Linked DNA regions of Notamacropus eugenii. The protein of the gene in region 2 purifies or fractionates together with the protein of the main gene of each other region. This does not show direct contact. Links are inferred from orthologs where the notes say so. Each region holds a gene or a part of one and is shown on either strand. Other genes may lie near its edges.

Evidence for each region.
Region 1: the proteins of PPP2R3A (region 2) and PPP2R1A purify together in Homo sapiens (affinity purification with mass spectrometry; 6 studies listed by BioGRID and IntAct, counting the BioPlex papers as one, with this or other methods). This does not show direct contact. The link is inferred for Notamacropus eugenii from reciprocal best matches to the Homo sapiens genes PPP2R3A and PPP2R1A.

What each region holds. Positions count from the first base shown.
Region 1 is NC_092876.1:25,188,277-25,204,725, forward strand, and holds the start of PPP2R1A (serine/threonine-protein phosphatase 2A 65 kDa regulatory subunit A alpha isoform), read right to left. Parts: upstream 6,317-16,449; 5' UTR 6,202-6,316; coding exon 6,124-6,201; intron 1,142-6,123; coding exon 1,051-1,141; intron 1-1,050. UniProt on the Homo sapiens protein: The PR65 subunit of protein phosphatase 2A serves as a scaffolding molecule to coordinate the assembly of the catalytic subunit and a variable regulatory B subunit.
Region 2 is NC_092876.1:331,681,546-331,697,779, forward strand, and holds the start of PPP2R3A (serine/threonine-protein phosphatase 2A regulatory subunit B'' subunit alpha), read right to left. Parts: upstream 9,339-16,234; 5' UTR 9,048-9,338; intron 1-9,047. UniProt on the Homo sapiens protein: The B regulatory subunit might modulate substrate selectivity and catalytic activity, and might also direct the localization of the catalytic enzyme to a particular subcellular compartment.

The DNA.
Region 1 (16,449 bases), about 310 Mb from region 2:
TATCCACCACACCTCCTGCCTGCCATGTGGATACCATATTTCTATTTGTACAAGTGAAGATTACATCCCTTTTACTAAAGTCCTCCCCAAATGCCTCTGAGGGCACAAAGGTAAGTGCCCTCTCCAGGATTCTTCCAGCAAAGAGCAAGCACTGACAGGTCCTACTGAGCCAGCAAGGGACTTCGTGCCTCTCTCCACACCCATTTCAGCCAGAGATACACACCAACAGAATAGTGGCCACCAAGGGATGGTGCAATGTTCAGACACAGACGCTCCAAGATGGTTTTTCTGAGATGTGATGGAGCCATGCTCTGCATCACCAGAGAGCACCCACACAGACTAAAGCAAGAAGATGCCTGGGAGGTACTGATGATGGAGGTCACCTGCCAAATCACTGACAGTGAGCTTGCAGCCCACTAGGACCTCTGGGTCTGCCTCACGGGAATAGCTGTCCTAGCACTTCTATCCCATTCCAACCTTGGAAAACAGAACCCAAAGGGTAGGGTTTCCAATTCATCCCCATTAAACAGCTTCTTGTTAGATCTAGAAATTGGAGGAGATTCTAATTTGGACATCCACTATGTCTTTATTCCTGACTAGCTACAATGCCATCCACAAATCTATGCCTTCATCCAAGTCCTTCATGATGTTGGTGCCCAGGGCAGGGCCCCAGGCCTGCCCCGAGTCTCCTTCCATGCTGACACCAATCCATCACTACTCAAATGGTCTTCTGGCTCAGTCAGTCAAACCCACCCAACCCAGAGCATGCCCCATCTCCTCTATAACCCAAAGGAAAGCTGGATACAGTCAAAGAGCTTGCAGACAATCAGATACACCAGTCTTTGGCAAGTCATTGATCTGCCTAGTCTAGTGGAGGACTACAGAGGCTGCTCTCTTGGCACCCAGAATGTCCCAGCCCTGGATAAAGTCCCACCATCCCCTTCCCAAACAGCCACCTCATCATGTATCAGTGGGTTCCTTCCCCTCATCAGCCTTTTCCTCAGCACCCAACGCCCAGAAGGTCACAGCTGTCTGTGCAGTATTCCTTACCTGTAAGGAATGGAAGGAGTTCACTCCGGGTCCTCTCCACACCAAGGGCCAGGGCAATGGTGGACAGCTTCTTGATACTGTTGAGCCGGAGCTACAGAGGAAAGCAGAAGTTAATAACCAAGGGCCTGGGAAAGTAGACCACTCAGCAGCCTGGCCTGTTCCCACCAATCTTCTTGGTCTGCCAAGGGTGCCTGGGGAGGAGGAGCTTTCAGGCAACAAACATTTAGCATGAGGAACACAGAAAGATCCCCAATCTGGCCCCAGCCGCAACCTGTACAAAGAGTATAAGGCTGGAATCAGGAGACTAGGGTTCTAACCATTCCATGTTCATTGGTTAAAAGGCCCTCCCAACTCTGAGATTCCATTTTCTATGGACCCTCCCAGCTCTGAGGTTCCATGTTCTATGGGCCTGCCAACTCTGAGGTTCCATGTTCTGTGGGCCTCCAGCTCTGAGGTTCCATGTTCTATGGGCCTCCAGCTCTGAGGTTCCATATTCTATGAGCCTTGCCAATTCTGAGGTTCTGTGTTCTGTGGGTCCTCCTGACTGAGTACTCCTAGGGTTCTACCTCTAGCTTTTGCTCCCCCAGCTCCCACGATGATCTGTCCTATGAAATGCCCTGAAATCACTCCTGCCCCATTTCTGTCACTGATCCAACTTCTCACGTTTCTCCAAACACAAACACAGAAACCCAAGCCTTCAAGGCTCTGGTCAAGCACCACTAAGAAGAGGACCCTGAACTCCATGACATACTGAACACACTCCCGCCTTCCTCACAAGACCTACAGGCCTTAATTTCTGGGGATGAGCATGGTTTGTTGCACAGGGTAGATATTTAATAAATGCTTGTGGCTGCTCTGAACCACTTAAATGACATACATGGCTTGGTATCAATTCAGGGAAAGTGCTCCCACTTCAAGTGCAGGCTCCAAAACATTCTAGCTCTGTGACCCTGGGAGAGTCAATTCCTCTCTGAACCTCAGTTTCCTCTTCTGTAAAATGGCCACAATAATACTTAGTCTATCTAGGTCATAGGGCTACCACAGGAAAAGTGCTTTATCAACATTAAAACACGCAAAGAGCTGTCCAAAAGGTCAAATGAGATCATGGATATAAAACACTGCACCAAAACAGCACTGCAAAATGTTTGCTTTCATCATATACACATTCCATTCCCCTCCTAAACATAGGCTGTCCTTGAAGGCAAGGGCTACACAAGGTCTACTACACTGTGGCGCTCAGCTCGGTGACCTGAACAAAGGACTCCCTTAATGATGGTCTGCTTACCGAGCTAACTCTTGATGAGAGCAGAGGGAAGAGAATGAAAATCGCTGCCAACACTTGACACCCCTAACCTCCCCCCTCTCTCCCCCTGCTTATTTACGCCTATAACATGCGAAAGAGATTGTGAAGAAAGGGAAAACACTGGGCAAAGAGGGCAGAAAACTTGGCCAGGTGATTTCTAAGGTCCCTTTAAAGGCCTCTCTTCTAAACTATTTCCATGTAACAATTCAGTTGCCTCATTTTCCTTAACCAAAAAACAGAACAAACAAATCTATGCATTAGAAAAATTAATCTAGCAGCCCATAAAGTCTGGATTTGAGAGGGGAAGAGGCTAGAAGCAGGAAGATCTCTTAGGAGCCCCCGCTGATAGTAAAAGCAGTCCCATCTACGAGCCACATTTTATCCTTTCCTGTGGAAGGAGATTAACAAAGCTATTACCTGCTGGCCACCACTTCCAGGAAGTCTTTGGCAAATGGGAATTAACTCTCTCTCCCATGAGTGACTCATCTCTCCAGATGAGCATATAGTCTCTGAGGACAAGACTGTTATTCATCAGTGTCTCAGGAGCACAGGGCTTAGCCACACAAGCCTTTAGATCAGAGCTGGGAGGGCCTTCACAAACCATGCACACTCCCCTGACCTTGCAGATGGGGAAACCACTGAATAAATGAATAACTGGCTTCCAGCCTATTTCCCTTCCAAGATCCCCCCGCACCCCCAGCACCATGGTAACAATGCTCCCTGGCACTGGTGGAGAGCTTTAAGGTTTACAAAAGGCATTTCATTCCCATTCGACTCCGCAAATGTTCTCCAAGACTGAAATCAAGCAAAACCATATCATTCCAGGCATCAGCTGCAAAGATAGAAAGGTGGGAGAGCATAGGCTGTCAAGAGAAGATGGTGAGTGAGGGTGACCACTTTGGCCAGGGCCTAAGGGTACATAAAGAGAAGTAATAGGAGATTGGCTAGAAGGGTAGGATGTGGTCTAGCAGGGAAGGCCTTAAATAACCAGAAGAGTTTGAACCTTGGTCTTTGGGCTGCAGGAAGTCATTGAAGGCTTTTGAGCTCAGGAGTGCCATGAAAAAAAAATCTACTATTGGGAAGAGTAATGCTTTCCCTCTGTTAATTATATCCTATTTAGCCTGTACATAGCTTGCTTTGTGTATAACTGCTTAGATGTCATCTTCCCCATTAGATTTTAAACTCTGTGTGCGCAGGGACTGACTTTTGCCTCTTTTTGTTTTCCCAGTGCTTGGCACATAGTAGGCATCTAATAAATCACAAATTTAGGGCTGGAAGGACTTAGAGACACCAAGCCCAACCACCTCATTTCAAAGATGAGGAAACTGAAGGTCTCAGAAGTCAAGTGACTTGCCCAAGATCACACAGCTAGTAAGTATTTGAAAGAGGATTTGAGCTCAGGTCTTCCTAAGCCCATGTCTAGTACCATATCTACCATTCTTAAAACCATTAAGACCTAGATTCTAACCTCAGAGTACTATCTAGGTGGCAAATTAAAAAGCCAACAATTATAATGGAAAACAAACTCTCTAAATGCCTAAGATAGAGAGAAGCATGAGGTCAAACACGGTTTTGGAGAAAGAACAGATCACTTCCAGCTAAAGTGACCAGAGCAGGCTTCCTGGAAAAGATGACTTTGAAGTTGAGCTTGTAAAAACACAAAGCATGGGGAGCACTTCAACAGATCTAGAATGGTAAAGGGAAGGAAGTAAGGCCACTCCAAGCAGAAGGAATGGTCCATCTAGCCTGGCTGGTGGGGACAGGCGAAGTATATAAGGGAACTGGAAAGAGACTGTAAACTCCTTAAGAGCAGGCACTGTCTTTTGCCTCTTTTTGTATCTCCAAAGCTTAGCCCAGTTCCTGGCACATAGCAGGCATTTAGTAAATGTTTATTAATTGATGATGTGATTGAAGAGATCACAGGATTTAAAACAGGAAGAGGGAGAGGTAGTATCTTAGGGATCATCTAATCCAAATCTTTCATTTTGGAGAAGAAACAAAACTCAAGGATGTTGAGCGACTTGTTCAAAGTCAGGAGGGAAAAATTAAATAAGAGCTGGGATGTGGACACGACCTCTAATTCCAAAACTGGTGCTTTCACTATATCAACTACATGGCTCTAATAGGTTAAAAACCCTAAATCAGATCCTCTTGGCCTGTGGGAAAGCTAGGAAAGGTTGCTAACCAAGTGAAAGACTGCTTCATGGCTCAGCTTTAGGGAACAGCCCTGGAAACTGGAGTCTGAAGACTTGGATTCCAGTTACTGTTCCGCTACTTAGGAGCTAACGACATGACCCTGGGTGAGACCTTTTCCATAACTCTTTGGGCTGGCAAGGCTGAGGGGCAGAGGGAGGAACTATCCAAAGACCCTCTGCTCCCAGTGTTCCCCACTGTAAGCCATCCTTCGTGGGGTGGCCTCCCAGGTTCATCCTCCTAATTGACATCCAGATTCCATGGCACTCCTGAGCTGAAAAGCTTGTGGTTATTTCAGACCCTCCCGAGTCAGGCCCCACACTGACTGCCCTTCTAGCTTCCCTCACGTTATTCCCCTTTATTCCCTCAAGCCTCCACAAAGCGGTCCATTCCCGGTAAATTCTCTCTACTCTCCCACCTCCACGCCTTTGCAACCTATGCCTAGAACGACCTCGCTCTTCTTGACCCACAGAATTCCCACCATCGAGTCCGTCCCACCTCCTCCAAGAGGCCTTCCCCGACACCCCCCCCCTTCTTTCCCCCTCGGGCACACAGCATACTATCGTGCTTTAGTTCTCCCCACACTAGGGCAGGAGCCCCCCTGGGGGGAGGGGGCGGCCCCGCAGCCTCAGCAGGAGGAGGACCCTAAGGGAAGGTTGTTCTGGATTGGAGATTCTTCCCCGTTGTACAAACAGGGAAACTGAGGCCCAGGGAGGGGCTGTGACTTCCCCAAGGTCATGCAGTGGTCAGTCAGAGTCACGGGCACAAACAGACGTCCGACTGCACTACGCCCAGCCCCCAGAGGCCCGGGTCCGGGTCCCACCCGGCCCCAGACCCCGCGGAGGGAGCAGAGGGGCCGGGAGCCCAACCTGGGCCTCCGAGCCTCGGCCTGGCTCTGTCCAATGGAAAGCCGCCAAGGGGGCGGGCTCTCCTCGGCGATTGGCTCGGCTCGCCGTTCAGCATCACCCCCGGAGGGTACTTTCTCTACCCAGAGGGTCATAGGCTTGAAGAGGGGTTGGGGGAGAATCAAGATGGAGAAATGGGGGGGGCCCCAAAAGCACCACGGCCTAGGCTCCCTCGAGAGGCCTGGACCCAGCTGGGGATTTAATCCCCAAGCCACCAATTAGGAACCTCGGAGGAGCTAAGCCCCGCCCCTTGCAGGGGCCGCTCCCCTGCCTTAACCCACTGGGGGGTCCCCGCTTTCCGTCCGTGCCCAGAGCGAATCGAGAGGCTCTTTGCTCGCCGCGAACCAATTAGGTGGCCCCCTGCGCGCCGTGAGAACCAGGAGTGCCAGCCAATCAGGGGTTCCGGAGGCAGCCCCCGCGCCCGCGCTCCCGCCCCCTGACAGACCCGCTTGGCCTGGGGTCCCCGGGCCGGGCGCCCCCTCCCCAGCGGCACCGCTGTCCAATCAGAGATGCTGTCTCAGCGAGCCACGGAGGCGCGAGACAAGCGACGCGGGCGCTGATTGGTCCGCTTTCCCTCCCCCCACCCCCAGCCCTCAGATGCCAAGAACGCCGAGCCAGCCGCCCGCGCCGCCCGCAACCCCAGGACCCCCGGGCCCCGATCCCGGCCCTGACCTGGACGTCCTCGTTACGGAGCTCGTCGATGAGTACTGCGATGGGATAGAGCGAGTCATCGCCGTCGGCCGCCGCCATCTTGGCTCCGTCCCGCTCCCGTCAGGCTTCGGCAGCCGAGCCGAGCTGAGGGAAGGGAAGGGAAAGGAAGGGAGTGGGACGGGGCGGGGCGGGGGAGGGGCAGAGACACAAGCAGAAGGGGGGGGGGGTCTCCCAAGCGACTTTGCAGGGGTTTCTGGGCTTCCATTGGCCAGTCCGCACGAGGCACCGCGCGCCCATTGGCCCGAGTAGACAGGGACACGCCCCCTATCCTCTATTGGCCAGGGGAGAAAGGGGCCTTCTCTCTAGCTGGCCCACTTCCCGTAGAGGGGCGGAGGAAGAAGGGGCGGGCTGCTGCCACTGGCATCCTAGCAACCGAAGTGGGCCCGCCTCCTCCTAATCGATCTCCAAAATTTCATTGGTCATCGCCCCTAGCGACAGACCGACTGCAGCACATCCTGCCAATAGGAGGTGACGGACGGTGACGAGACTCGGCCTAGAGGAGGCCGGGCTCTTGGAGCGGTGCGATGACGTCATCTTCGGGGACTGAGAATGCGCGCTCCCACCCTGCTTCTCCCCCTGGTCCGCGCTGCCAGGTGCAGAACCTCGGCATGGGCGTGTCTGGCTTCTCCCAGGAAGCTGACGTCAGAGCGGGAAGGGCGTTTAGAGATCACTTAATCTGATTACACCTGAGCCCTAAGGAGTCGAGCTTCGTGATTTCACGGAGTATACCCTCAGTTGTCAAAGGCAGCGTGTTGTAATGGAAGGAACCCTGTGCCTGGGTTCGAATCCTGCCTGTGCCCCTAGTTCTCTGGGCATCCCCGGTCAAAAGCCCTCCCTGGGTTTTCCCCTCTGTAAAACGGACTAGAGAGACCCGAAGGTTCATCTCAGCTCTGGCCCTCAGAGCATTTACTGAGTGACTGCTGAATACAAAAGAAGCAAAGAAAGTGGGTCAAAGAACAGGGCCTCAGGAAGCTTCCAGGAGCTAGCCAGAAGGGCAGCCTATGGACACGAGAAAGTATGATACTGGGGCAGAGGAAGGAGGTGTTGGACCTGCTGGCTTCCCCAAGAACGGGGCCTCAAGAAGCTTCCAGAAGCTAGCCAGAAGGGCTAGCCTATGGACACGAGAAAGTGTGATACTGGGGCAGAAGAAGGAGGTGTTGGACCTGCTGGCTTCCCGGGTCCCTTCCAGCTGTCAGAGCCTGAATCGAGCGTAGACTGTCAAGCCCATGGCCACCTTAATTAATGGCAGTGGTACAGGGAGTCCTCAAACTCTCAGGGCCATTTTCTGTTAGCAAAGGTGTCAAAGCTTCCTGTTTACAGAACAGGACCCCTTCTCATTACAGATGAGACTCAGAGACAGAAAGGGACTTGCCCAGGGTCACACAGCCACAGTGTCTGTGGCAGGATTCCAATATGGGTCTTCCTAAGGCCAAGTCCCACATTCTACCAGAGTGCCAACCCCTCTCTGCTCAGGTCCCATGTTTCTGCTTGGATAGAATCCTAGACCTGGAGTGAGGTGAGACCTAAGAAACCAACTCGTCATTTGTTGTTCAGTCATTCAGTCTTGTCCAACTCTTGGTGACCCCATTTGAGGTTTTCTTGGCAGAGATACTGGATGGGGTTTGCATTTTCTTCTCCCTTTTACAGATGGGGAGACTGAGACAAACAGGGTGAAGTGACTTGCCCAGGACCACACAGCTAGTAAGTGTCTGAGGCTGGATTTGAACTCAGATTTTCCCAACTCCAGGCTTGGTGCTCTGTCTGCTGCTCCTCCTAGATGACTATCATCTCATCGTAAGAGCCTAGATTTGGAGCTTTAAGGGAATCTTGGAGGTCTTCTAGTTCAGCCCTTTCTTCTTTCAGATAAGGAAACAGAGGCCAGAGACATGAAATGATTCTTCCAAGGCCATACAGTGAATCAGTGGAAGCACCAGGATCTGACTCCAAACTCAGTGGGTTTTCCTGTTGTTTTTTGGAGAAGGTGGTCCCTGAGCTGGGGTTTGAAAGAAGATAAGGTGTTCAGCAGGTGTGGGGGAAGGGGAGTGGCTATGCCAGGCATAATGGAGAGCATGAGCAAAGGATCATGGGCAGGTGAGAGTGGAGGTAGGCAGCCTGGCTCAGGGGAAAGGTGCTCTGTGTGAAGGGAATGGTGAGAGAGAAGACTGGACAGGTAGGCTGGATTGTGGGAGGCTCTCAGTGCCAGGATTGAGAATTTAAGATTTTATTTGGGAGACAACCTTCTAAGGTTCCTCCCAGCTTTGACCTCCTACATGCTGAGTTTTGCCCCAGCCCTGACATCCCATGTTCCAAGGGCTCTCTCAGCCTAACATTCTGGGTTCTAAATTCCCTGTGATATTCTATGATTCCATGATGTCATCTTCTCCTTCATTCACACTGACCTTTCCAACTATCCTTTCCTCCTATCTTTCCATATTCCCCTAGGTCCTTGTTCTCGTCAATCTCTTCCTGTACCCTGCCTTCTCTTCCTCGGCCTGTGTATAGGTGTAAGTCTTCCTCAACCTACAAACCTTTCCACTTCCATCCATCCCCTCTTTGTCATAACCAGACTGCTAGAAAGAGTCATCTGTACTCCACTGCCTGCCCTTCCTTACTGTCCATCAAACATCAAGCATTTATCAGGCCTCTAAAATATGCCAGGCACTGTGCTAGCCACTAGTGATTCAAAAACAAAAATCAAATGTTCCCTGCTCTCACAGGGGCTGACATTCTGTCAGAGTGCTAGGGAAAGCCTAATGCCAACACCTATAGTTCACGTTCAAGAGTGGGACTAAATGAGACACTTACAAGTCATTGAACAGTTGACCAAAGGAGGTTTCCTTTGCTATAACCAGAAAGGATAAGCAACAAGAAGATTGACTTCTTTGGACTCAGCCCCACTTATCTCCATATGGAAACACATTTGGTGGTCAAGGCAGGCTATGATGATTTCAGAAACCTACAGATTCAGAAGGTCCTGGCTCCACTTGGACAGGATTTTCTATGCCCTTGGGTACCTAGGAAACTGAGTAGGGAGGAAGGGCCAAACAGCTGCTAGGGGCCATTTAGTTGCCTTTTAGAAAAACTAATCCTTGATTCTAGGAATCAGGGGAAGCAAGGTTGTATCACTCAGGGAAAGGGAGAAGTGTTTGTACAAGTGCAGACAGACTAGAAATGCACCAGTCTCTATGCCCTTACAATCTGACTTCCACTCAGCCCACTGAAAATGCTTCCTTCTGAAGTCATTCCTCGTCCTTCTTGTCAACTTCTCTGCAGCATTGCTACACGCAGGAAGCTCCCTCTTCTTCTGGATCCCATCCCCTAAAACTCCTCTTATGCTCCTCCCTGACAGTTCTGCCCCTCTGAGCACTGTGCCTCTGTCTCCTTGGCTGGCTCATCACCAGCCTCAAATTCCCCAAGTCTGGAGCTTCCCAATGGGTCTGTCCTTGGAGCAAGTCTCTCCATATTCTCTGCCTTCTCCATCATTCCTGTGATTTCTGTTATCACCTCTGTACATTGACCAAGCACAGTGCCTGGCACACAGTAGATATGTGGCAAATGTCTGTGCACTCCGATCGTTAAATCTGTCTGTCCAGCCCTCTGTGCCCTGTCTCTGACTGCTGTGATGGTTGTCTGGTATGTATGTGCCCAGATTTCTTCAACTTACTCAGTTGATGCAACGTGGAGAACCTGAGAAATGAGGATCTTTCTGGGAAAACAGTGAAGACATGTATGAGGGAGCTCTGGTGGGGGGGGTAGGGACCAGATCATGCATGGTCATTCTGTGACTGGTTCCCACTGACTAACCAGATCACAAGGCCAAGGAGAGCCTTCTTCAGACGTGCTGGCATTTCCAAAAGGCAGGCCCCAGCAAGCTCCAACCACCTCCACTTGCTTTATTCACAACATGGGGAGTGTGGTGGTCATAGGGCCCCAAGACACCAGCCTTGGTCTCTGGGCCTTTTTCTTTGTTCCTTTCTGTTCTAGGTCTGGGAAGCAGAGTTTCCCACTCATTTAGGGGCAGCAAGCATTCGGATTATGAGAGTCACAATCCAGGCCAGATGAGGCCACCAGCCCCATCAGTTACCCCAGGAGCAAGGAGAGATTTGGGGTAATGAACTGTGAGAGAATTCATCCAGCACTCTGGACAGTAACTTAGTGGGCCCAGAGCCAAGGAGGCCCCCAACTAAGATTTGAGCCTTCTCTCTCAGAGAACAAGGTGATGTAGGGAAGTGTCTGTCCCGGAGGGCTTGGCAGGCCACAATATAGAATTTCAAGAGTGTCTACTAACAAAGTGGGTCAGTGGTGACCTCCAGAAGGCCAGTGAGGCTAAAGCATGACAAGGTATTTTATAGCAACGAACAAGATTCCTGAACAAAATTTCAAGCTGCAGAAGAGTCTTATTCTGAAAAGCCAGAAAGTCAAAACCCCTAACCTCAGTTTGAAAATACCATCTCTTGGATCTCTCTTTATAAACACCGCCCCCCCTCCACTCCCAAGATCACCAGGCAAAGATATGACAACCCCACCTAGAGAGATGGAAATAGTCTACAATTTAGTTTAAGCCTGTTCTTTTCCCACCATGTGGGTGGTATGTGAAGTTATAAGGGTAAAGATACAAGTTACAAGATAAGAATTGTAACTCAGGTGACTTGAAGTTACCTGAGTGAAACTTTCAAAGGGGAATATTAAATCTAATTTGATAAACTATAATAATAGAATTAAAATCAATTTTCAATTTCACAATTTCTTCTTACTGTACCTTTGAAGCAAAAATAAAAAATTCCCTTTGCAAAAGCCTGTGTTAAATTGTTCAAAGGAACTGGGATGTTAGATACGAACTCCCTAACAACAGAGGGAATAACAGCCTGAGGGGACTTAAGCCTCAGGGTTGCCCTGGAAGCCTGAGGTGAAATGGAATAGGCCTGGCCCTGGTTACAGGACATCCCCTGTGCACCTCCATAGAACCTCGAGCTAGATCTCCCTCTCAGTCTGCTCTTTCTAACCTCAGTGTTTCTTTTGAGGGCATGACCAGGTTCTCAGACTCCTCTCGTCCTAAGCTTGCAGTGTTGCAAACCTGAAAGGGCTAAATAAATTTTAATCTGATTACCTTGACTTTTCCTTCTTGTATTTATTGTAGTTGTTCAGTCCTATCCAACTCTTTGTGACCCCATGGCCCCTATGGAGGTCATTCTATCCTCCACTGTATCCCAAAGTCTGTCCAAGCTCATGTTCTTTGCTTCCATGACACCGTCTACCCATTTCATCCTCTGCTGTCCCCTTCTCCTTTTGCCTTCAGTCTTTCCCATCATCAGTGTCTTTTCCCCTTGAGTTCCATCTTCTCATTATGTGGCCAAACTAAAAAAGCCTGAATCAATTTCTTTAAGTTTTAACTGATTTGATCTCCTTATTATCCAAGGGACACTCAAAAGTCCTCTCCAGCACCAGCTTTCAAAAGTGTTGATTCTGCAGTGCTCAGCTTTCCTTATAGTCCAGCTCTCACAGCCATACATTACTTCTGGAAAAACTATAGCTCTGACTATACGGACCTTTGTCAGCATGGCGATGTCTCCCTTTTTAGTACGCTGTCCAGATTTGCCATAGCTTTCCTTCCAAGGAGCAAATGTCTTTTAATTTCATGGCTGCAGTCAGCATCTACAGTGATCTTTGAGTCCAGAAATATAAAATCCAACACTGCTTCCGTTTCTTCTTCCTCTCTTTGCCAGGAAGTGATGGGATCAGTTGCCAAAATCTTAGTTGGTTTGCGTTTTTGGTTTTTCTATGTTAAGCTTTAAGCCAGCTTTTGCACTCTCCTCTTTCTCCCTCATCAAGAGGCTTCTTGGTTTTTCTTCACTTTCTCCCATCAGAGTGGTATCATCTGCACATCTGAGATTGTTCATATTTCTCTCGGCATCCTTAAATCCAGCTTTGAAGTCATCCAGTCTGGGATTTCCCATGATCTACTCTGCATCTAAGTTAAATAAACAAGGTGACGTGTGCAGCCTTGTCTTATTCCTTTGTGAATCTTAAATCAATCAGTTATCTCATGTTCATTTCTAACTGTTAATTCTTGACCTGCATACAGCTTCCTCAGGAGACAAGTACAATGATCTGGTACTCCAGTTTCCTTGAGGACTTGCCACATTTTGTTGTGATTCACACAAAGGTTTCAGTGTAGTCAATGAGGCAGAAGTAGAGGTTTCTCTGAGACTCCCTTGCTTTCTCCATAATCCAGCACGCCTCTTTGAGGACCATCCTACTCTTCTGATAATTCTTAATTCACATATTCCCGAAGCCTAGCCTGCAGAATCTTAAGTATGACCTTTCCAGTAGGTGAAGTGAGTCCATTTCTTCAGTAATTTGAGCAGTCCTTGGTGTTATCTTTATTTAGGATTGGAACATAAAGTGATCTTTTCCAATCCAGTGACCGCTGCTGAGTTTTCCGAATTTGCTGGCCTCTGGAGTGCAGCGCTTTACCAGCATCACCTTTCAGGATTTTAAATAGCTCAGCTGGCATTCCATCCCCTCCACCAGCCTCACTACTAGCAATGCTTCCTGAGGCCCACTGGACTTCACCCTCCAGGATGTCTACCTCTAGATCAGTAACCACCCCATCATAGTTATTGGAGATGTTAAGATATTTCTTGTGCGGTGCGTCTCTGTATTCTTGCGACTCACTTTCTGCCAGAGAGGGGAGAGATATAAAATGCAGACTGGGACCAGCATCGCTGCTTTGCTATGAAAAATTTTTTATTGTTATGAAGGTCTCCTCCTTTTCTTTTTGCTATTTACCTCTCCCTAACCCTCCCGAAAAAATAAGACACAAATGGAGAATAATCATAAACAAGAGGCATTTGGCACTCAGTTGGCATTTAATGAAAGGTTATTTAGTGAATGAATACTTAGAATTTGGGATCACAGAACCTCAAAGTAATAAACTCTGTTATTTTTGAAGCCCAAACCATAAAACTATAGAAGTCTTGAACTCAGGACCCTTAGATCCCTAGAATTCTCATTCCTTCTAAGACCTCTTCAAAAAATCTGGCCTTGGTCAGATGGGTGTGTAAAGAGAAGGGAGGACCACCAATTTCTGTTCTGGAGGATTCTCAAAGAATGGAGACTCTCACCCTCCCACAGGCACAAATGCACTGCCCCATGGGGAAGAAATCCTTCCCCATCAAGCATCCAATAATACTTGTTGTCCCTCCCTCCTTCCTTCTGTCTAGCTCCATCACCCAGAGTTGAAACCAGTAATCTTTTCAATTGGGACCAAAGAGAGAGTGGTTTGCCCAAGGTCCCTCAGTGTTCTGGGCCAGGCCTGGCTGAGACCAGGTTCAGATTCAAGATTGGAATAAAATAAAACACTCTTAGATTCCATAACCTTAAAAGAAGTTTACTCAACCATAGTATAGAAAGAGTATCCATCTAAGGTACAGTATTGGTACTCCAATCAAGGACAGCATTGATGCCCCTCTTGTCTCATTACACAATCGTCTACCTAGAGTCAGGTATTCCAGACTTTGTCACCATCACCCACCTGCACAAGTGCACACGCTTACATGTGCATGCATCCATACACATATACACACACTGAATACCAGTAACTCCTGTGAGAAATGATGATTTCTCTCTTGTATTAATAACTAATTATTGAATCAGAATCAAAATTTTTATTTCTTCATCCAGAAATCATCCAATGTGGGAAACTTTCCCAAAGGTTTACCCAGGCCAAGATCTAATCAGAAAGTAAAAGATATTCTAAGTTTGGGTCAATGAGAGGATTCCAGCTCATTATGTTTGCTCAGACAGGTCTGGGAAAATGTGGATCCTCTCTTTTGTCAGACAGGTATGGGAATTGTTAAGTCTCTTTGACCAAGACTTGGGTGATCCAAGTCATGTCCCCCAAAACCCTCACTGTACTATAGCCCAGGTCCCATTATAATATTCATTCTCTCATTAATTGTTAACCAATCACAGCTGATCACCCCTCTCAGGAATGATCTTTCAATGGTGTATAAACTGTGAGCCCACTGTGTTTAGCATTCAAGGGTGTCATTGACCTTTTATTAATAAGCATGCTGGTGTTATTCATAAAATAATTAAACTACCCAGAAACTATGTCTCTCGAACTTTTTAAATGTCTCCCATTTACCTCCAGGATTAAGTATAAAGCCACCTGGTTAGCACCTGCAGCTCTACGTAAGCTGAGCCTTTCCTCTCTCTCTGGTTTTCCTACACTGACCGCCATCTTCTTGTTCTATGCCCCAACTGCACCCAGCCTCCTTATTTTTCTCATACACAATACTGCATCTCTAGTCCCTTGGCCATGGTACTGACTGTGCCTCATGCCTGAAATACTACTGTCCCTCTACCTCTAGATTTAGCTCTAGGCATTGGTAATGGGGGAGCAGGAAAGGCCTCTTGTAAAAGATGGACCCTTTGCTGGTGAACTTGCATCCACTTTGTATGTCACCTGGATATATGTACTTATTTTCATGTTGTCTCCCCCACTGGAATGTTCATTGTTACTATGTGCCCTTTGTTTTCGAAGGGAACTTCTGGGGTAATGTCTTGACTTGTGCATGAATGGGATTGAGGTGAGGCAGAGCTGCACAAATTCCTCAGCCTTAGTCTCTCTTCTAGAGTCCTCAAAGTCCAGTGGCAGAATGACTAGCAATGGCCAGGACACAGCAGATGACCTTGGTGTCTTTGATGCCTGACCCAGTCTCCTTGAGGTAGAGACCATGTTTTTGTATTCCTTTGCATCCCCAGAACTTATCTAGGCACGTAGTGAGCATGTACTAAATGCTTGTTGACTGACTGAGTAACTGCTCTGATTCCAATTCTGCTGTTGCCTGACCAGATAGATTTTCTGGACCAGGGGTGGGGACCCTGCAGTCTCAAGACCACATGTAGCCCTCTAGGTCCTCAAGTGCGGCCCTTTGACTGAATTCAAACTTCCCAGAACAAATCCCCTTTAGAAAAGGATTTGTTCTGTAAAATTTGGACTCAGTCAAAGGCCCACACTTGAGGACCTAGAGGGCCATATGTGACCTCGAAGCCATAGGTTCCCTACCCCTGGTCTAGAGGTTGGGGCTGGGTCTTCTGCCAGCCCTTCCAGTTAGAGGAGCACAAATGTGGTTGACTGATAAGCCAAGGATAAATTCTTATTAATTTGTCTGTCAAGCATCCTCTCCTCACTCCCTGCATACAGAACCCTTGTTATTTTAATGACAGTAATTTTAAGATTCTGGAATTAAGAGGTAGACTCTGTCCAAGAAGACCCCTTGGTTGAGACTGGGAAACAGTGGATCTGAGTCAACTCTGTGATGTACTGGTTGACCATAAGCTTGGGCCTTTTCCAATCTGGGACTCACTTTCATCATCTTTACAGTAACAAGGTTGGTCAGTGTCACATAGTACCTGATAAGGTCCTTGCTGACTGGCCTTGACTAAGTTCCAAGTGACATATTAGAAAGAATGTTGGTTGTAATCCCAAATCTCTTACTGACTAGCTGTGTGACCTTGGACAAGCCTTCTATGGGTTCTCAGTTTACTGCTCTGTAAAATTAGGGTCTTGGACTAGATCATCCTGAGGTCCTCTATGTCTCTAAACCTTGTAATCCTTTGACCAATCCCAGGCAACTCTACATAGGTGCCTTGAGATCCTGTAGCCTAAGGAACAGATTCACAGACTGGATGTTAGAAAAGTAGACCTCAGCTAAAGAAGAGAGCCCTGGGGATTCTTCAGGGAGCGGGGACTGAAGGGGAGAAGCACCAAACATTTGTCCAATGACCGAATGGATGAACGTGCAGGCCTCTCACAAAGGGGCAGGGAACTCCTTCTAAGATGCTACCCTCACCCTGAGGTTGATGTCCATCTCTGTGCCCAGACCGTAACTATGTCCCAGATTAGGAAGCCCTCAGATGGGGAATGGGGAGGCACTGCTTGGTGTCTACCAAGAAGGTCTGGCCAGGCTGAGGCCAGGAAGAATGAGGGTCTGAACCCAGGTTCTGTCCCTCTTTGGGACTGCCCTGCCTTCAAGCACTCAGAAGATGGGTGCTGGGCTGGTCCTTTCTCCTCTGTCTAGGAGCTGGTCCACTGGACAGTCTGTGGAAGCAGAGCTGCTTGGGCCTTGGGTTCCGCATTGTCCATCAGGTGTATACATTATCACTGGATCTGTTGATTATCATAAGCATGGGTTCATATTTAAATAACATTTGGTTCATGTCTAAATGTTGTCAGACCCTTAAAACCAAAAGGCTACTCCACCTGTTCTCCAACCCTGC
Region 2 (16,234 bases):
GTTTACAAAGAAAGACAAAAAACAAATATGACCATATCATTACTTTTCTCAAAAAAACTTTTTAGGATGATAGGATTTAAAGTTGGAAGGGGTCACAGAGATCCTCTAGTCCAACTCCGCTATTTTATTAATGAGGAGACAGAGAACCTGAAGGGTTAGACAATTTGCATTTTTAACTTCTTAAAGAATAGAGCCAAGATTCAAATCCACATCCTCTGACTTCACCTTCAATGCTCAATCTACTAACGAGGTAACCAAGTGGTGTTGGATGGATGCTGGTCCTATAGTCAGGAAAAAGGCACTTCAGTTCCATTCTCAGGCACTTAATGGCTATGTGACTGGACAAGTCACCCTCTTTCTGAATCAGTGTCTTCATCTGTAAAATGCAGGTAACAATAGCATCTACTTTCCAGGGTTATTGTGAGGATACAATGAGATCTGTAAAATGCTTTGGGTATTACTTTTATTATTATAGCACGCTGCCTCTTTGATTCCCTACTGATTACAGGACAAAAAATACAAGCTCTTTAGTTTTAAGGCTTCCACAAACCTGGCTCCAATCTGCTTTTTAAGGCTTATTTCATGCAAATCTCCTTCACTCAGAGTACAATACAGCAAATTGGAATATTACTTATTCTCCAGTCTCAAATTGTATTTTCCATGTATTCACATTCAAAGACATATCACAAAAAGGTTGGGAAGAAAGTGAGGGAACAGGAAATGAAGGCACTGAGTGCAGAAGGCTTTTTCAAGGAGTTCAGCTGGAATGAAGAGGAAAGATATAAAGTAATAGCTAGCAGAGGCGGTAGAATCTAGAGAATTTTTTTTTTTTTTTGAAAGAATGGAAGAGACTTGGGAGTCTCAGTAGGCAACAGGGAAAGAGTCAGTAAATAGGGAGAGACTAAAGATTAGACACAGCTTGAAGGTACTCTTCTGAAAAAGAGAAGAGGAGACAGAATCACGCGAACATGTAGAAGGCTTGGCACTAATAAGGAGGAAGGCCACTTTCTCTCCATTAGACACCAGAGTAAAGGATACAGTAAGAGATGACGCCACAGTGATCTGAGATAAAGTGAAGGAAAGAATAAGGAGCTGCTGGATAATGATCTCAAATTTTTGGTAAATATAAGAAGTGGATGTCATCAAGCTTGAATCATGAAATACCACAATACTGGAAGAATTAAAACAACATGTTATCCAAAATCTGATGGAGCAATACAAGATGGACATGGTTAGGCATGTTAGGTTAGGTTTAGGTACATACCTAAAATAAATGAGAATAGGAACTGGCATAAAAGACACCACCAAATGGATACACAACCAGAAAAAAAAAATGCAATCTGGTTATGTAACAAAAGTGAGGGATGACAGCCTGTGAACTCAATTGGTACCCTTGTAATTTCAAGAGTTATAAGAAGATCCCTAGCATAGAGGGTATAGATCCCTTTTATGCTGGATCTATACATGACACAAACAAAAATCACAGGGAAAGTTGTAATATGTACTATTGGAAAAGTATCTCTACATCAATTAGATCACAGATTCAACCAAGTATCAAAGTTTTTAAAAAATGTCATGCTACTGTGTTAATTTTGTAGAGGGCACCTTCAGTTCAGTGGAAGAGTCAGAAGCCAGGTTATCAGGGATTGAGAAGTGAGTGGCTAAATATAAGAGGTAATGAATGTGATGGCCCCTTTCTAGAAGCCTAACTATGAAAGGGAGAAATTTTTGTATGATAGCTTGAAAGAATGATAGAGCTAAGTAAAGTTTTTGCTTTTTTTTTTTTTTTTAAGAACTGGGCATATTTTGGGATGATGGGGAAAAGCCAGTGGAAAATAAGAGATTACTAATGGGAGAAAGTATTGAAAAGGGAAAAGCTCTGGAAGGAGCTGGGAGGACCAAAGATAAAAGTGACAGATTTGGCTTTGGAAGGAGAAGAGCTACTTACTTCTTTGTCAGAGACAGTAGCATATGAGAAGAGAATGAAGAATGAAGAAGGATTTTAAGGTTAAGTTTAGTAGGGAAAAGGAGCTTGCCACAGAAGATTTCTGTTTTCTGAATAAACTAAGAAAGTCCTTGGATGAGATGAAGGGGGAGGAGTGGTACAGAAGATTTAAGGGGAGAGGTTTCACTGATATGTTTTGGATCATGTGGCTTAGTTGATTTCCATCTCCTATCTCTAAGTCTTTGCAGCCATTTTCTCCTGTGTCTAGAATGCTCTCTCTTCTTACCTCCAGAATCCATGGCTTCCTTCAAGAATCATCAATAAGCCACCTTCTGTGGTTCCCCCCAGATACTAGTGCCTTCCCTTCCATGGTAACCTTCCTTCTATTCTGGATGTATTTTGTATATATACTTTCCCCTCTAAGACAACCCTTCTTCTACTCTATATTTCCTATACATTGTCTTCATCATTAGAATGTAGGTTTCTGAGGGCAGGGAGTGTTTTTGCCTTTTCTTCGTATTCCCAGCTCTTCGCATAGCTCTTGCCACACAGGAAGCACTTAAGTTTTTGTTGACTGAGTAATAAAATTGCTCAAGGCACCAGCCAAGTATGATATAGACCCAGAATGTTCTTCCGGAAGAGATGCACCATCAACATTAGTTGTATGTGACAACAGGATATGTCTTTGGGGTGGATGTGGGGGAGAGTTCTTGATTCTCAAGGCCAGTCCTAAGGGTCCCTTCCATGGTGGTACTGATGACTTCCCCCTCCCTCTCCTCCAGATATTTCTGATTACATGGAACAGTAGTATTTGTTCTGTACATACCAATGGAAGAAATTAAAGTATTATCAGTGTTTCTTTTCTTCTGGGGTCTTCTGGATTACACTTGGGTAGAGTCTACTCTCCCTGAAGTTGCTAGGCAAATAGCTGGATCTAGGCCCTAGGTAGCAAGGTAAGAAGATGAATTTCCTGCTGGGAAGCTCCTATTCAAAAGCTGACAAGAATAAGATTGTTTAGCTAATAAATTCCCATAAGATGTTCAAGAAGTGACTGATAATTCACACATATACAATATTTTAATGTTTACAAACAGCCTTTAACTGAATTGATGTTTGTCTACCGAGTACCACTGTCTTTTAGTAAACTAGTTTCTTCTAAGCAAACAAAAACACTATGAAGAAATCTTTGGGTCTCAGTTGTAGTTATAATTAGTTTTTCATTATAAAACTAGGCAACAACTGCAGGACCTCATGAAATTTCTCCAAAAGACTGATTAAGAATTTATTTGCATGAGGGGAGAGGAGAAGATTCTCTCGGGAACTATTCAGTCTAATGGAGTTGCATTCACAGCCAGCTGTAGTTCAGATAGTAATGTATTTGTTTATTCAACAACAAACATTTATTAAGTGGCTTCCATATGCAAAGCACTTAGGTCCAAGGGATACAAAGAAAAAAACCAAAACAGACCTTTTCCTCAAAGAGTTTATATTCTTGTTTATCATTTTCCTTTATCCAAAAGTGCTCTCCCTATAAGACAGTCTTGTCCTACAGTAGGCAATGCCTATACCTTCATCATGGCATCCTCCTTCTAAAAGTAATTAGGAACGTTGATATCTAGTGATAGGTTCTTGGGTAACAGTACTGTTGGCTATAGGTTGAGTCAGTGATCCACATCTTAGTTGTTGACTGAGTGGAGGAAAATACAAAATCAAGAGAGTGTGAACTCAGGATCATGGTCTGAACAGTTTTAGGAATTATCTAAGGCAAGGTTAGGAATATGGATTAGTTAAGATAGAAGAATTCATGAGAATAAGAATTTTTTACAAAAGAAAAGTCTTTGAGCACAATGCTTGAGAGCTTCTTTTATTCTTTATGTTGAGGTAGCCTAGGACTATATGTACAGCTGTGCTTTATCTGGACAGCTCACTTGGACACAAAAGAGGTTTACTGATATCTGATTGAGAATTCCGAACTCATCCAACAAGTGTTTGTTACATGACTACTATGTATAAAGGTACTGTGCTAAGAGCAAGGGATATAAAGACATAAATGAAACCAGTTACTGGTTTCAGTCTCAGAACAATTCATCTTGGACATACAGATCACCCTCAAAGTTTACAAAAGACAATTCATTTCCTTATGAAGATTTATGAAAAAGCAAGTTTGAGTAGAAGAAAATGAAGAGATTGACTAGAGGTGACTAGAAGTGAGTGCTGGCATTTAGTGCCCTGGGCAAGGTTTGAAAAGTTTGCCTCTCTTCTCCCACCACCCTAGTGAATGTATGTATTTATTTACACTTCTTAAAAAATATTTTCAACTTAGAAATACAGTAGTAGCATAACATCTATCATTCTGAGAGATAAAATTGTAAATTTAAGTGATTAAAATATAACTTTTCATGGAATATAAATTAATGACATCATCATAATTAATACACTTCGCAGTATTGTGCCCAATGCTTACACAGTCTAAATTACTTATAATGCTCTGGTGTCTATAGTTCTTTATTCTCCCCACTTGCAAAATACATTGCAAACATTATATTTACAGAAGTAAATGCCCAAAGCAAGCAGGGGACTACAGGGGTGATGAGGGTGTAAACTGGCTCTGGGGTGAAAGGGGACATGAAGAGGCAATCAACCAGCCATTTATTTCACAGAAGCAGAAGCTGAAGCTCAGAAAAGTTAAGCAATTTACTTAAGGGTCACACAGCTAATTAATGATGGAGTCAGAATTTAGAATCTAGATCTCCTGACTCTCAATCCAGTATGTTTTCCTTTACTCAATGACTTTTAATACATCCCTCCAGAAAAATAACAATACTATCAATAATTTTCAGCTTAATAAAGGCAAGTGCATAGCTACTCCATCAGTTAAATACAGGACTGATGGAAGGTGATAGATCTTGGTGGAACAGATATGCCCATTACATAGACTAGAAAGAACGGCACATTGTGATTTCAACACTAAGAATTTGAAGGACTCATTCAATCACCTTAAATCACTGGCTAAGGTTCTAGGGCTCTTCATTTAAACAAAAAGAAAGTAAAAAAGATTTTTTTATCTTTTAGATAGAAGACCTAGATTGTAGTCTTAGCTCTGACACTTTACTAATTTGGAAAAAAATCACTTAACCTCTGTAACTCAATTTACCCATATATAAAATGAAACAGTTGGATGCAACAATTTCTTTGGTCCCTTTCAATGTTATGATTCTACGACTCTATCACTATTTTCTTCATTATACTACCTTGAGTCTTTTAGATTACACTAGCTACTGTAAAAATAAAATTACCTCTCTGGGAGATGGAGAACATGTACTTTAGTCTATAATTTGGAGGATAATGAATGAAAAATAGTATTGATCTATTGACTTTAAATACAGAATTATCATTTGTTCTAATACCTCCTTTGACTTTGAATACTTTATGAATGAAGTGTTTAGACTCTGAACTATGACATCATATCATGATGTATCTGGACAATAACTTAATGACCTTTGGCAGCATATGGTCTAAGAACTCATCCAAGTACCGTCATTTATGTGTCAACTGTGTGTCACAAAGGCAAGTCGATTTCCTTAGTGAAGTTATATTCTATTGGGTAGACACAATATATCCACAGATAATGAAATGCAAGAGATACGTAAAATAATAAGTGACTTGGAATTGGGACTAACATCTGAAGGAATTAGAAAAGAAGCAGCACTTAAGCCAAGAAGGGAGTCTGGGGTTCCAAGAGGTGAAGCTGAAGAGAAAGAGCATTCCAGGCATGAGAGAAAGCCTGTACAAAGGCCTGGGGGAAGGAAATGGAATGTTAGTTACATCATGTCACATACCAGAAGCAGCAAGTAGGCTAGTTTGGCTGGAGTACAGAGTATGTGGGGGTGAGAAGAGTAATTGTAACAAGCCTGAAAAAAATAGCCAGATTGTGAAGGGCTTTAAATACTAAACAGAAGAGTTTTAATGTCATTCTGAAGATGGGGGCTGTGGGGCGGGGTGGGGGAAGCACAGTTTGGAAACGTAGAGAGTAAAGTTTCTTGAGCAGGAGAATGATTCAGTCAAACCTGTGCTTTAGAATAATCAATTTGGCAACTCTGGGGGATGGACTGGAAAAGAGAAAGACTGGATATAGGGAAAAGATTAGGAGGCTATTGTTATAGTCCAGGGGAGAGTGGTGAAGGCCTGAACTAAGGAGGCTGTGGTAAGAACAGAGTTATTGAAGGGGCAACTGATTGGATATAAGACAGGAGAGTAGAGCTGAGAATGACTCCTACTTGTGAACCTGGGCCAGCCCAAGAGTGCTGGTCCCTTTGGAACGAATCACAAACGAAACAATTAAAAAATTCTTTGGCCTCCCTTGTTACTGACGTGTAGGTGAGTACCATTCCTTACTACATATACCACTGTACCACCCAGTAACAAAGTATGACAAAGAGTTCATTCTGAATTTCTCCCCATTGACAATGCTCCTGAAAAGTTGGCTCTCTAAGTATCAGATATTACAGTGGACCTCTGGAGTCAAACAGATCTTTGCCCTACTTTCACTGTATATACAGGTTTACAAACGTCCTGATCCTAGGAAGTGTCTGGAATCCTGAAATGTCCTTTAACCACTTAAGTGAATGTCTTAAAACTAGCCATGGACATGATTTCGTTTTTTCCCCCAAATTTATTTATTGATTTGTTTTCAATTTTCAACAATCACTTCCACAAGTTTTAAATTTTCTCTCCCTCCCTCCCAATCTTATATGGGCTCTACACATACATTCCTATTAAACACATTTTCACATTAGTCATGTTGCATATAAAAATTAAAACGAATGGGAGAAGGCACGAAAAAACTAAACAAAACCAAACATAACAAAAGAGAAAATAGTCTGCTTCATTCTCCGTTCTGACTCCATAGTTCTTTCTCTGGATATGGATGGCATTTTGCATCACAAGCATGGACATGATTTTGTAGCAGCCAAATTCTAAGTTGGAGTACAGTGCTAGTGAACCTACTTGTCCTATAAACTGACCCCTAGGAAGATTAATTACATAATTTTTTATACAAATGAGGCCCCTTTAAGGCCAAGGAAGTTCAGCAGATAGCCTAGGCCTGAGAGAAAGAAGCACTCAGTTTACTATTACAGCAACTCTTATAAATTCAACCCACAAGCATAATCCTTTGATTTCAACCAGCTCAAAGTGCTATTTACTTGAAGACTGGAAGCCTTCCTTGATTTCCCAAGCTGCTATTGTCCCCTCTTCTCATAAACTGTTTTGTATGTATGTTGTACTTACTTACAAATACTTTTTGTTTCCTCATAGAATGTAAGTCCATTGGGGCAGTCTTTTTTTTCTTGCAACCCCTAGTGCCTAGCACAAAGGTGGGCACTTAATAAACGACTTTAAAATTACTTTGCACATATTTTGTACTTACCCACATGTATATGTTGTTTCCTCTTACAGAATAAGAGCTTACTCAAAGCAAAGACTGTTTTATTTTCATTTTTCATATACACAGTACTTAACACACAGTAGGCACTTGACTACCTGCTCCCTAACCAGCAAAATGGCAGCACTGTCCATCAGGGGCCAGTAACATAACCTGCTCAAGACTGTTTAAAACTTCACCTATTTAAGATGTGAGATCACCACTACGGGACAATAATCTTGGTCATCATTCTAACGTGACAGTACTAGTGGTGGAGTTTGTGTTCCAAAAACTTTTAAGCAGGCTTAAGATCTGAGGCTGTCATCAGAAAAGACTTACTTTCCCTTCCGCGTATATCTCCTTCCACAATATTTTCCTCTGACACAAAAAACCCCCAAGGTTCAACAGACCATGGATCTGACCAAATACCACAATTTATAGGTTCATAACATTGAGTTTCAAGAAAACAGGACCTGAGAACAATGAACTATGGAGGATTTCAGGATTGTCGTAGCCAAGAATGACAGAACTTGTATGGGCACTTTACAAAGTGAGGTGACGGATATGGTCCACCTTTTACAATTATGTATTTTGAGTTTCAATACTAATTATAATCTGAAGAAACACCACATTTTAAAGACACCCTTAATTGGAGAATCTGATCACTGACAATTTCCTTTCCTTTTACAAGCCCTTTCTCCTGAAGAACTAGAATGTCCCAGTACTCTGACTAACCACAGAAAAAGCACATTGAATTGAGATTCCAGGCTAAGACAAAGCCCCGGGCCAGCTGGTTTACATCGAGTGCTCTCCAAACTGAAAGCTGCATGTGGCATGTCAATGAAGTCTGAGCTGTGAGCGCAGCGCATTAAACCGGGCTTTCTGTCCCACCACGGCCGGTGCGATGGCCCATCCCACACTAGCACAACTCTCCAGGCTGTCCGGAGCCAGGGCCAACTGCCCCGAGCAGGAGCACCGTTTAACTCGGTTTCAGCGAGTCATCCTCGGAATCGCCAGGGGTCAAAACATGTTCTCATAAAATGAGGTTTGTGACACAGCCTTGTTTGGCCAAGCCCAGGGGGAGGGGGAGGGGCAGGAGTCTCTGACAAGTCAGTTCTTCCAGACCGCTGGCACTGGCTGCCCCGCCGGGCTTTTCTGATGAGCAAGTTCCCCAGGAGGGCACGGCACGGCGCGAGGCAGAGTGCGGCGGGGGGATCTCCGCGTATTCCCGTTGCCTCGTCTGTCCCCGGGGAAAGGGAGCTTTGAACGTTTAACGTTTTATTTCATGTCAATCAATTTTACTTTTATCCCCAGGGCGCCACACAGCGCTAGGCACACCGGAGGATTAGTTTGACAATGTTTACCGACTGGTTGCCTGGAAGTCTCTCCACCCCCACCCCCACCCCCACCCCCCAACCTGGGCAGGCCCCTTCCTCACGCCCCGGGAGTCACTTTTCCCCGAGCGGGGCGCGGGGTGGGGTTGGGGGGGCTCGCGAGCCCTTGACCCTCCCGTCCCAGACCTTGACATTGAGCGCGCGGGGGGAGGGGAGGGGGGAGCAGTCGTCCCGCGCTCCTGCCCATGCTTCCCCCCTCCTCGGGGGGCTGCTGGGCGGGCCCCGCCTGCCTCCCCGGCCTCGGGCCCCGGGGTCGGCCGCAGGCACAGGGCGCCCCCATCCGTACCTCGGTGGCTCCGGCTCCAGTTCCTCCTCCTGGTCCGCTCCAAGCCGGGAGAGAAACCCGAGCCGGCTGCTCTCCGCCGCGGCAGCGCCCGCGACCCGATACTCCCGCTCGCCTCCGGGAGCGCCGAGAGTCCAGGGGGGCGTGTGGGTGTGCGGGTGTGCGCGTGCGTGCGTGCGGGAGTGGAAATGTGTGAGAGGACGGACCAGCCCACAGTCGCCGTCGCTGCCGCCGCCCGCCGCCGCCTCCCGAGCTTCGGCTCCGCTCTCGGGCCCGCCCCGCCCTCGCCTCGCCCCAGCCCGGGCCCCGGCCTCGCCTCGGCCCGGCCCGCCGAGGAGCCTCCAGAGCCGAGAAAGGGGGCGGGGCGGGGCGGGGCGGGGCTCCGGGGAGGCGGCTGGGGGAACCTCGAGAGCCGATGGGCCGCCGCGGCCACGGCCGCACGCCCGCGATCCCGGCGTGTCTCGGGCGGGGGAGTGGGGCTTAGACGGGATGAGGGGAAGGGGGAAGAGGGGCCCGCGCGCGCTCCCGCCGCAGCCTCCTCGAGCCCCTGCAGCTCGCGCGTGGCCCTCCCGACGTCCCTTCCCTCAGTCTTTCAGGGAGACCTCGTCCCTATTATTTTGATCCAAAGTGGGATAACGAGCGAGGGTCGTCTGGACGGCCGCGCGAAGCTTGAGCCCCCGAGCCCCCAAGCCCGGGATCGGCCGAGGTGACGCGAGGGGAGGCGCTCCGGAGCCCCCCACGGCTTCTCTTCCCCCTTCGCTGCACCCTCCAGCTTTCCGACCCGCCCGGTCTGACACACACGTACACACGCAGTCCTCACACCTCGTTAGCTCTGGATGATTGGAAGCCGCGCTTTAGCGCCGTGTCCGTGTTACCTCGCCTGGGCCGTCAGCGAAGCGGCCTCTCACGTGGTCCGAGCGCGGACCGGGCCCAAGGACTGATCCGGCGCCGCTCCTTGTCGCGCCGGGCCGGGCCGGGTCCAGCCTGACCGGGCATTTCTAAATACAGCGAAACGGGGGCACTTGTGAGATGTCGCACAAATTTCAAAATCCGGTTTGTCCGCTCTTATGACTTTTTTAAAATGAAAGGGATTTTAGAGGTTTTGCCATTTGAAAATTGGACCCCCCCCCCAAAAGAATTCCCAAGAATACCAACCACCCCGTTTTCTTTAGGCAGGACTGATCTTAGTATGTAAGGGAAAAAAGGCAGAGCTCTCTCTGTCTCTCTGTCTCTTTCTGTCTCTGACTCTCTCTGTCTCTGTCTCTCTGTCTCTGACTCCCTCCGTCTCTGTCTCTCTGTCTCTGTCTCCCTCCCCCTTCTCTGTCTGTCTCTCCTACGGTTTTCTGTCAAAAAGAATAATCTGTGAACTGGAAAGTACACCATAAGAACAATAATAAGCACTGACATTTATATGCAAAGTGAGATCACAGGATCGCAGATCTAGATCTGAAAGCGATCCCAGAAGTCATCCAATCCAACCCCTTTGTTTACAAATGAGGAAAAGGAGGACCCCAGGGTGATCAAATGGCACACACAGGTCACTAATAAGCAACCAATGCGGGATCTGAACTCAAATCCTCCGACTCCAGAGTCCGTTCTTGAAATGCTTCACTTACGTTGTATCATTTGATAATAATGACCAAGAATGGCCAGTCATGAGTTGGTACTCAAGACAAGTAGGCAGATGAAGAGATCCAAGTACCTATTTGTCCTTACTGAGTTGTCCAAGATGAACTATATCCTAGATAGTATTGAAAACTGACGGTTTGAAGAATCTTTGAAAGATTGTGGAGAACTGGAGAGATTCCACAGATTTTTGAAAAGGGAAAATGTCCCAATTTTTGTTTTAAAGGAGAGTAGAATTTGCAGGCTACCGGCCAATGAAGTTGACCTTTATTCCTGGCAAATTGCCATAATGAATCATTAAAAGAATGGTTATTGAATGTGCTGAAAAGGAAATAGTGATGAGAGACCCAGAATGATTTCACTGAAAATGAGCATTGTCATAATATTCTCATTTCCATTTTTGACAGAAGTTTTAGACTGCTTTATTGGTGGAGTGCTCATTTAGATTTCATTTATTTAGGTACAACTTAACCTAGATTTTAGCAAAACATTTGAGCAAGTCACTCGTGCATTTTAACCCTGGAGAAAGGAAGGGAGGGAGAAAGCTGGAGGTTTGTTAGGTGGATTTGGTACTGATTGAATGGCTAGACTGAAAGGTCATTCATTTAATGATTTAAAATCAACTTTTAAGGAGGCATGTAGTTGAGTGCTCCAGGAATTTGAGCTTGGCTCTTTGCTGTTTAACAGTCATATCAATGACTGAGATAAAGACATAGGTAACATGTTTATCCAATTTGCATACAAGCTAACACACTGAATGACAGTATTAGCATTCCAAAAAAAACCCCTCTACAGTTTAGCGTTTTAGGATAGAACCTAATAAAATGAAAATTAGTAGGGATAAGTGTAAAAGTCTTGAGAGAAATGATTATTTTCCTTCTATAATAAGAACCAATTATTTAATTAGCACTAAGCGTTTTCCCCTTTCCTACTTGCTCATTCAGAAATCAGTTTTTGTAGGTTATTCAGGGGGCCTTTGAATTGCAGGGCTGATAATGAGAGGGTAAACTCAGATCTGTTCAAAAGAACAGATAACAAACAGTAAAGAAATTTTACTTTAAATGAATTGATGGATTCTGGTCCATTGTGTTAGACAGGTCTGGATAAAAGTGGATTTCTCCTTTCATCTAGACTACCCTGGACTGGGTGATATGGGTATAGATAAGTCTCTTTGACCAAGATTGAGTGATCAGTCATGTCCCCCAGACCCTTATTAGAATAAGCCCCCCTTTCATTATTATATCCATTCTTTCATTACTTGTTAACCAATCAGAGTTGATTGCCACCATCAGGAGCACCTAACCTTCCTTCCAAGGATATATAAGCATTGAGTGGGTTCCATGAGGGGTCCATGAAGCATTCCAGAGTGCCACTGACCCTTTTATTAATTATATTCTAGGATGATTAATAAAATGATTAATTACCCAGAAACTATGTCTCTTGAACTTGAATGTCATAATCTTATACTTGGCTTAAAAACAATCAAGTCCAGATTTTCTGGATAAAGTATGCGTGGATGAAGAGTAGCTGACCTGAAAAAGATATGGAGATCTTAGTGGACTGCAAACTCATCATGAATTAACAGTACAATATAATAGCCAAGAAAGCTAATATAATCTTACGTTGTGTTCAAAAGGAGAATAATATCCAGGACGAGGGAGATGGTAGGTAGTCCTATACTTTGCCCTAGTCAGACTCCTTTTGGGTTATTGTGTTCCCTTGTGGGTGGCACATTTTAGAAGGGAAATTACTAGGCTGGTTCCACAGGAGGGTGATTGAGATGGTAAATGACCTCTAGATCAATCCCTGTGAAGATTAAATTATTCTTGATAAGAGAAGCCTAAGGGTAGATATGATAGCTGTTTTCAGCCATTTGAAGGGCTGTTGTCCAAATAAGAGATTAAACTTGTTTGGCTTGGCAGAACTGGGAGAAAGAATAGAAGCTGTGAAAAGGCAACTTAGTTTGATATATTGAAAAACTTCCTCACAATTATAGCTCTCCAAAAGTGGAATGGGCTGCCTTGAGAATGAGTGGATTTACCCATACTGGAAGTCTACAAATAAAGACTGAATGACTACTTCTTGGACATGTTATAGAAGAGATTATCATGCAGGTATGAGTTGGATTGCATAGCCTCTGAAGTCCCTTTTAACTCTGAAATTTGTGATTCTTGTAACTTATAGGTAAGGGCTTGTTGTAGTAGAAAGGAAAAAACACAGGGACTTTGAATCAGACAACTTGAGTTTCATTCCAGGCTTTGCTATTTGCTACCTTAGTACCTTTGAACAAGTCATTTTGACCTCTCTGGGCCTCGGGCTGCTCATAAACCGAGGGTATTGTTCCAGACTGTCTTAATTCTAGTCCTAAATCAATAATTGTATTACATATTTTGGGAAACACAGAAGATTCAAATGTTTTCTAATACGTTTCCTTGTTTTAATTGGTTCTAAGATTCTCTCTAGCTTTATTTCCCTTGAGCCCATACTTTCCCCATTTATGTGCAACAGCACCAGGAATTCTGCCATTATAGATACATTCCTTTGGCTTAAAAATTCCCTTTTTCTGGCAGCCCCTTTTAAAATGCAAATAACTATGGGAGAGGCCATGCATTGTTATTAACACTATAATATAAATTAGTTTATCAGGTATTTTAATCAGGAGGGACCAAGTTAGTATGACAGCAATGAGCTTCCTGTGAGATGTAGAGAGAGGCAGAGGAAAAATATAGAGAGGAAAAGTTAGTGATAGACAAAATTTGTCTGCTTTATAATTTGTGCTTGGACTAAGCCTATCAGTAGCTAAAATGATATTTTACAGGAAGTAAAGTGATGCTATAAGAAGTGATAGCTAAGCATGCAGTCATAACTCATCTTAAGGATTAATTAAAATGAAAACACAGTGTTAATATTTCATAGTCACTGACCATTCAATTTTCATCCCATACTTACAATGGCCTTTGGTTATAATGTCTTAACAGCATTAATGTTAGTCAGGAAAATGTCATTTGAAATAGACTTGTATAGCCCATTGGAATTTTCTAAGACACTTCGAATATATTCTCATTTGATCCACAACACCTTTGGGAAGTTGGTAGTATGAGAGGGTTTTGCAAAAGTTCACTGTCCAATGCATGTTGCTAGATAGGATAGAAAGAGGGGAAGTTATTTAGTTAGTACAACTTTAGTCCAGCTTCAAATATGCTGACTCTGTATGTTGATCTCTGATTCCAACTTCAATAAAGATTTATTAAGTGTGTACTTAGTAATAGATAGAATGGTAACATAGTTTAGCAGCTAGAGAGATGGTCTTGAGGCCATATAGATGGCAGTTTAAGACTTGCCTCTGACACAAATAAACTATATGACCTTGTGCAAGTCACTGCAACCCTCAATATTTTAGGTCTCTCCCTAAACCCATAAGATGGAGAGAATGTGCCAACCTACATTGGTACACAGAGTTTCCTCATTCAGGAGTTTCCTATAACCCATGAAATCACAAGTCCAGTTCGTGGCTATCCCTACTTAATAATAAGGTTTGAGCTTTGTGTTAAAAGTTCTAATGGAAATGAAAATATTAAATAAGACAGAGCTGACTCCCTCAGAGCTCATAATGTAGTAGTAGTTTGTCTCAACAGCTTTGCATCATCAGCTTGCATAGTAAGATCTCTCCATGTCCTCTTCCTCAAACACAATACATCAAACCATATAGCACAAAGTATAATCTATATTTAAATGTATTGTATTTATGTAAACATTTCATTATGTAAATTTGACTCTTCAGAATCTCTATTGTAGGAGATTTAAAGTATCACTAGAGATTTATGGTGTCATAAAACATAGAACATCCAAAGAGGAAGGAGCCTTAGAGATAATCTATCCCAGTGCTGTTTAACTCAAATAGAAACAGGTCTCTGTGGGCAACTTATTGACCTAGAAAACCACAAATTAACATTATCTATGTTGTATAATGTGTTTGAGTTCTAGATATATAACCTTGAAGGGTTGGGTGTGTCTTTGTAATATGATCATTCTTGAATTCACCCCATCCCCATTCGAGCTATTCCCCCAATATCAATCATCAGTTAATATATACCCAATATCAGTTTAATCAACTGGTCTCTCCTCAATATCAATTAACATCAATTAGCTTTTACAAAGAGATATTTACTGAGAAAGCATAGCAAAGTCAGAAGTATAAAATGACTACTTGCTCCCTCAACTCAGGGATATACCCTCCTCTTTATGTATCCACTCAGTCATCTGATAGAGGGGAGTCAGACATAGTGGTGAACACCAAACATTTACCACAGTGAGTTCACCTCTGGGTCTGGTATAACCAGTTCATAAGTCACTTCTTTGCTTTCAAGATGTAGTTCCTTGACTGCCAGATTAATTCACCATTGAGCCTTGTATGCCATAACTACTATCAGACTCTGCCACAAATTCCAGTTGCTGGGCCTTTGGTATCACTTCCAGCCTTTTGAACTCACAAAGTCATATCTGATCTGGTCTATTTCTGATATTTATTCACCTAAGTTCAGGAAAGAATAAACATAACAGAGACAAGACATATCAGTGGCATGCATTCACAACTTCAAGGCAGCCCAGTAAGAGAGAAGGTTCCCTCCTCCTCAGCCAGAGATCTACAGCCATTCTTCCTCTTCACTCAAAGGTGCCAGATGAGAGACAACTGTTCCATTCCTTTGAGACTTTTGTATGCACATGTACTTCTAGCCCAATCACCAAAATTAAAAGTCTTTTTGGCATGATGGCAATAAGCCAGTAGGAAAGAATCAGGGAATATCTAAATACCTGCACATGTTCTAAATAGCTGAGCAGGGAGGGCCAGTCCCCACTCCTTAAAAAAGGGAGGAAGGGCTCTTCCTTAATGCATTTTTGGAAGCAGATTCACTACTCTTTCATGTGGATTGTCCATAGAAAATATTGAGAGTATTCTAAGGACTGATTCCTTATTAGCAGATTCCATTACATGAGGTTATACTACGTTTCTTTAATACTATGTTTTTTTGTTGTATTTGGCTATTTAAAATAATGGGGTCCTGTGGATATTAGTTGAATAAAACCTGATGTCCAAAAATCCAAATTTATAACCAGATAAGGGCAGAGAGAAGGGGAGTATGTACATGACTTGCATAGCATTAATCACAGTTTTCCAGAAATGGTGACCTGTAATGGTTTTTTGGTGCTTATGTAAAATACCTTTCAATAAAATTCACCTTTTAGTGAGCTGTTATCATTGCATTAATTTGGTCTCAGTTGAAGTTCTTCCTCGCATTTTAGGAGGGCAAAACTAGCTTGACAATGCCAGGTTGATACCCTATTTTGTCTAGGACTCTAATGAGGCCAGATGTACTGGAGAGGGCCTAGGGGGAGGTAGATGAAAGGATGGGTCTTGCCATTTGCCGACGTCAGGCACTCTACTTGGGGAAGCAAAAATACGTCCATGTCAGGATATTCTGTGTTGTGGCTTTTCACTGACATGTCCATTTTATGATGAGAGAAAATGTTTTTTGGGAATTCAATGGGAAGTTTACTTCTTTATA